2 linked regions of the Ovis aries genome follow. The protein of the gene in region 1 interacts with the protein of each later gene in a pairwise test. Links are inferred from orthologs where the notes say so. Each region holds a gene or a part of one and is shown on either strand. Other genes may lie near its edges.

Evidence for each region.
Region 2: the proteins of SNRPN (region 1) and SNRPD3 interact in a two-hybrid assay, tested with the Homo sapiens proteins (2 studies listed by BioGRID, with this or other methods). The link is inferred for Ovis aries from reciprocal best matches to the Homo sapiens genes SNRPN and SNRPD3.

The regions. Positions count from the first base shown.
Region 1 is NC_056071.1:1,223,060-1,226,810, reverse strand, and holds the start of SNRPN (small nuclear ribonucleoprotein-associated protein N), read right to left. Parts: upstream 2,880-3,751; 5' UTR 2,860-2,879; exon of another isoform or gene 1-2,859. Other genes in the region: SNURF (SNRPN upstream reading frame protein), read right to left, coding at 2,880-2,985.
Region 2 is NC_056070.1:71,542,342-71,544,936, reverse strand, and holds the end of SNRPD3 (small nuclear ribonucleoprotein Sm D3), read left to right. Parts: intron 1-76; coding exon 77-269; intron 270-1,716; coding exon 1,717-1,778; 3' UTR 1,779-1,949; downstream 1,950-2,595. UniProt on the Homo sapiens protein: Plays a role in pre-mRNA splicing as a core component of the spliceosomal U1, U2, U4 and U5 small nuclear ribonucleoproteins (snRNPs), the building blocks of the spliceosome.

The sequences.
Region 1 (3,751 bases):
GTTCCCGTTCACCTGGTAAAATAGACCCTTCACTGAAAAAAAAAAATGCACAAAAGTCTAATGTGAGAAACACAAGTAAGTGGAAACTATTAATCCACAAAGCAATGCCACTTAAACCAGAGGAAAACAATTTTTCCATTTTGGAAAGTGTTTATCAAAGGGGAAAAAAGAGACATCAAAGGTGGTACTAAGAAATTATCACTGTAGTAATTATTCTTGAACTTTTGAACTGTGGTGTTGGAAAAGACTCTTGAGAGTCCCTTGGACTGCAAGGAGATCCACCAGTCAATCCTAAAGGAAATCAGTCCTGAATATTCAGTGGAAGGACTGACACTGAAGCTGAAACTCCAATACTTTGGCCACCTGATGCGAAGAACTGACTTATTAGAAAAGACCCTGATGCTGGGAAAGATTGAAGGCAGGAGGAGACGGGGACGACAGAGGATGAGATGGCTGGATGGCATTACTGACTCTAATAATCATGAGTTTGAGTGGACTCCGGAAGTTAGTGACGGACAGGTAAGCCTAGTGTGCTGCAATCCACGGGGTCGCAAAGTATCAAGACGTGACTGAGCAACTGAACTGAATTATTCTTGATGGTAATCAATACTGCTTATTGTGTTATTAGAAAGCAACATAACAAAACATTTTATAAATTACTAATTTTTATACGTTGCATACCCAAACTGAATCCTCATCCTAATAAATTTAAAATACCTAATATACACTATCTTAAAAATGCAGAATATTCGTAACAGCATAGCAAACTAGGGGGAAAGAAACACAAGTACAAAGAAAAAGTAAATCATGAAGGGACCATCATTTATTCATTACAAATCATATTGAGGATTATGTAATAAAATGAAGGAACATTAATGATATACATAAATAGAATAGTTTAAAAACATGATTACAACTATGTTTTCAAAAGAAAAGCAAATGGGTAAAATGAAAGAAAAAAAATGCCACTATGGTTGAAACATGGCTATTTAAAATCTGTGGTTTACTTTCCCATTTTTCTTGGCTATCACTCATATGCTTTACATTTTTATAATGAAAAAGAAAACATATCAATTGTTTAAATGTCTTTACCCATTTACACGTACAGCAGACTTTAACAAGACCCTTGTCACCAAATTCATCTGATTCTCTACTCTGTAATGTTTACTTCATCTACTCTCCTTGTAATACCTTTCCCTTTACCACATTCTATAGCACCAACACTCCCCTACTGGCTCCACCTTATGTTTTCATCTTTGAAAGTGGTTCTCTAAGAGACTAGCAGACTTTTTCTTTTAAAAGGAAAGACAATAAATATTGTAGGTCTTGCCTGGCATTCAATCTGTCATGAATGCTCCCACCTGCCACTGTACTGTCAATAATATCCACAGGCCTTATGTAAATAAATGGATATGGCTCTGTGCTAACAAAATTTTATTTATAAAAACAGGCAATAAATGAGTCAGATACTTTATCAATCTTGCTGTAAAATAATTCTAGTAACTAGTACTATTTAGATGAAACTAGCACTTAAAACTTAGAAAATTAGATTACTCTACTTGTAGATCATAATTATGATTTAAATAATACTATACAGGAACTTGCAAGAGTATCTAAACTATACTAAAGGGCCAAAAAATTCTTGGTTAAAAAATCAATTATGCACACTTATTCATGTAAAAACGTTCTTACTCTGGGGGACAGCTGAGGACAATTATCAGATTCCACTGCCTGAAATCAATTCTACTGTCTTGCAATCAAGTCCAGGCAATTACTGGAGAATGCTGGGTAAAGTATTCAGTAGGGGAGGATTTTTCCGTTTGAAATGATGGCCATAAGCCTAATTAATTTGAGTTGCAGGGTTATACTCTGAAATAGAAATAAAGAAAATCTAGAAGAAAACTCATCTATAAACTTCTTTCCTTAGTTTCTGAAAAGTACATACTAAACCCTTTGAACTTAGGTCATTCAAATCTTAAACTTAAGAAAGGAAAAATAGAGTATTTAATCAAAATTAATTGCAATTTTCTAAAAATCTAAGCAATTAACACAAAAAGACACTGTAAATAAATCTACATAATACTGACAAATCATAAGTTAATAATAGTTTTGTTACATTGTCAGATGACTCAAACAAATGGGTAACAAAACATGAGGAAAGAAAACAAGAAATAAGTAGTAAATAAGCCTGGGAAAATATTTAGCTTCTCATCTGCTAATGGATGTGATGTGTATTTCTAATTTAATAGAAATAAATTATATGTAATTGACAAAATTAATGCAGATGAAAGTGTACCTGGCACTATACTTTCTCATGGCAACTGAAGACTAATAATTCATAATATAATTTAGAACATGAACCTTAATTTCAAATTCCTTGATTTATTTTCACATCTGCATATCCAAGGAAATGGTCCTATCTGTTTTGCAAAAAGCAAATCACTGAAACTTCATTTCAAACTATCAGCAGAAAAGATAAAGTTCTCACAGAAAGGAATTCTAAAACATATTAGGAGGATATTCAGCAACTATTTATAATGAAATACTTCTCTTACGTTAAGGTGAAAAGCAGTACAAGTTAAATATGAATAAAACTACCTAAAAAGCAAAGACTACATTGTCTAGAAAGTAACTCATGACAAAAGTCTTTCAGGGTGAGAGCATTAAGGTACTGCTTTTACTTTTTAAAATTTTCTGCTATGTGTTTATATTTGTATGATGCTTTTAAGGAAAAGAAATTGAATATATCCCAAATAATTAAATGACCTCCAAACATCCTACCCTTTAATTAGTTGTTTAATCCTGATCATGATTTCATCAGCTATAACCTGTTTTTATTTTTCTCTTGAAATCAGCTACCTTGGTGTTCCAATACTGCTTTAACCACCTCTTGGTGTCTCAGCTAAGAATGCCTGTCTCAGTTCTGCCTGGAAATCCACCACAGGTACTTGCTGCTGCTGAGATCGCCTCAGGTACACGTGACACCTACGACAAGAGCACAGAACACATAAATGAAAAGACATTTCCCTATATAGTTAACAATGCAAGCATGAAAAGACCCTTAAATTTAATACTCCAAGGTTCAGAGCATACCACTACATTATGAACAAATTATAAAAGAGGAGGCTCTCTGCACATAGGAATGTACAAGAACTGAGGGATACTTACCCTCTTTGGTGATATTACCAAGGAACTTAAAGGAAAAAAGAAAGAGCTCTTTTGGTTTAAAATGCCCTATAAAAGAACCAAGAGTATAATAACCATTTCTAATCTGGAAACAACTCTTTAACCCCTAAGGAGGTAGGGTATTGGTTAAGGCATTTCCAATGAGACATTTTAAGATAGTTATTTATGCTGACTGGAAGTTACTAACTGAAACAAAGAACCTCCAAGCTACTTAGGCTCTCAGACTATGTAAATCTACCATCCTTTAGTTATCAGGGAATTCTAGAAAAATACTCAACATATTCCTACCTATAAGTAAGACTCTATCTGGCTGTAAATCTGATCCTGAGAATAAGAGATACAGTAAATTACACAGTTTGCTGGCTAACAAGACAAGCATAAATAAATCACCAGCCAAAAAACTGCCCTCATTGTAAGTATGTGCTTGCATGCTAAGTCACTTTAGTTGTATCCAATTTTTTGTGACCCTGTGGACCTTAGCCCGCCAGGCTCCTCTGTTCATGGGATTCTCCAGGCAAGAATACTGCAGTGGGCTGCCGTGTCCTCCTTCAAGGGATCTTCCCAG
Region 2 (2,595 bases), on another chromosome or scaffold:
GCTTGCCTTCATGCCCCCTGCCCCCTGCTCTCTGCCGGTGCCCGTGACCTTACTGACGAGGGCGGTTCCCTTACAGATGTCCAACATCACGGTCACGTACAGAGACGGCCGCGTGGCCCAGCTGGAGCAGGTGTACATCCGGGGCAGCAAGATCCGCTTCCTGATTCTGCCCGACATGCTGAAGAACGCACCCATGTTGAAGAGCATGAAGAACAAGAACCAGGGCTCGGGTGCCGGCCGGGGCAAGGCGGCCATCCTGAAGGCCCAGGGTAGGTGCTGCGGGCGCGGGGCTGCGCCGGGCAGACGAGCCGGGGCCTGCTAGGGAGGCCCTGTGGCTGGGCAGCCAGCTCCACACCGCTGCCCCGCAGTCCTGGGGACCCCCAGACCCCACCTTCTCGGTCTTGCCTCACTCGCCCCCACTCAGGACGCGCACAAGATCCACAGCTGCTCCTTAAGGAAAGACGGGCTCAGATGAGAGCGGATGAGTCCGCTGTGGTGACTGCGGGGAGCCTGCCCCGCGCTGCTCGCTGAGCAGAGGCGCGGCCCTGAAGGGCTGGGGGGGTGGGCCCTGTGTGGCTGGGGTGTCTCCTGATGCCCAGCGTGAGCGAGAGAGGTGGTGTGGGGAGGGGCACTCTCAGATGGGAAGTCAGCCGTCTGGGGCCATCTTTTACCCGTTAAAGGAGGCTGAATGCGATTTTCCTTTGCTACGTTCCAGAAGTGGGACGTGGTCTTCCCAGTGATGCGGCCTGATCGTTTTCCCTGGGTTAGCCCACTCAGTGTTCAGGGTCAGGGTCCTGAAGAGTTCTGCCGTGTTGATCAGCTAGGAAACGAGTGAGTCGTTAGGAGCAGTCTGAGTATCTATCGATACAGAGCCAGAAGGTCCCCGGATGCCCCTCAGGCCTGTAACTGCAGCAGGCCTGTCCCACTTCAGGTGGCCTTGGAGCTCCGAGGGGCCTTGCAGATGCCCTCCAGGAGAGCCGGTCAGGGAGCCTCCTCGCCCCTCCCGGCGGGGACTGGAGCCCTGGCCCTCCGTCCAGGGGAAGGTACGGAGGCTGAGCTGCAGCTGCTGCTCCGCTTCCTCGGGGCCGCCCTCCCGTCTCTGTCGGGGCTCTAGGAGGCGGTGCCCCCAGGTTCTCACGGCCTGCCTTCCCTCCTGGGTCAGCTCCAGGCTCTGAGAGGAGAGTCCAGAGGCCGGCAGGGTATCTTCCCTTCTTCAAAGCCACTGGTCCCCTCTTCGGACCTGAGTCAGAACAGCGGTCTTCATCGAGGGGTGGTTTGGGGTTTTCACCTGTGGTTCCCCGGCCCCCATTCAGAAACATTCCACGTGCAGAACAGCTCAGAGAACAAGAATCCTCACCCAGATTTAATAGACGTTAACACTTGACATCTGTTTCGGAATTTTACGTGTGAATTAAATGCATCTGTAGTGTTTTGCTTGCTCACCCTGGGGCAGCTCTGAGAATTCATCTTTTCTCTGGTTCCCAGGCGGGCCCCCCAAACCACCGTCCCTGCGAGGCCCTGCCCCCAGCTTCTGGTGGGGCAGTGCTGGGCCAGGAGACAGGTTCAGGGTGTCCTCTCCAGCTCTGCCTGGCCACCCGCCCCTCCTGGGGGCGCTTTCCCCGTGAGGTGTGGCGGGCGGGCCTGCTGCTGGACTGGCTCCTCGGTGGTGAGGGTCCGCACCGACCTGCCTCGTCTTTTCTCTCCCCTACCTTTCAGTGGCCGCAAGAGGGAGAGGACGTGGAATGGGACGTGGAAACATCTTCCAGAAGCGAAGATAGATTTTATCTGTTGGACAGAACTTTGCTTTTTTTTTTTTTGTTTTAGGTTATCTGGGTCGGGGTGCGTGCCTATGTATATGTCCTAGGTTATCTGTTGACATCATTTTCTTTAGATGTGGGTAAGATGTTAAACTAAATAAATATGGTGGCTTTTTCTTTTTGAGAATCTGAGGACTCTGTTCCTTTTGTAGTTTTTTTGCTGTGTTTGCTTGGGCCGCAGCTTAAGCTTTGACACCCTGGGAGGTGTGCTGGGGAAGCGCCAGTTTGAAGTAGCACAGTTATTGATGAGCACGGGGGCCGCCGTCCCAGCCGGCACTGGCTAAGCGCTTGGAGGGGCTCCGAGGGCGCACAGGTTCCCTTGTTGGCACACAGTCATGCACGCGGCAGCCTCTTCAGGAGCACTGTCAGCTCAGCTTAAACAACGGGACACACAGGTCCTGCCTGTGGGGAAAGAAACCAAGACCCAGAGCTTACAGCCTGCAAGCCCCAGTGACTCAGCACCTAGCAGAAGTAATCTAATACGAGAAGGTCACTCAGAGCCCCGTGGCTCCTGCAGCCCTGGCTTCCTAAGCAGTGCTGCGCTGACCCGGGGGGCAGGGTCCTGTGTGTTCGTCAGAGCGCTCGGCGTGTACTGGCACAGCGGCGGCTGCTGACGCAGAGACGGGGTGTGCGGCGCTGGTAGCTGACGGCAGCCCCGAACTGGAAAAGCAGCGTGGAGAAGTCGGACACGGGAGAGGGGCCGGCAGGGGCCCTGTGTAGGATGAGCTTCGGCAGAAACTGGAGGCGAGGGGGTCGGTTGTCGGCCCTAGAATGGTGC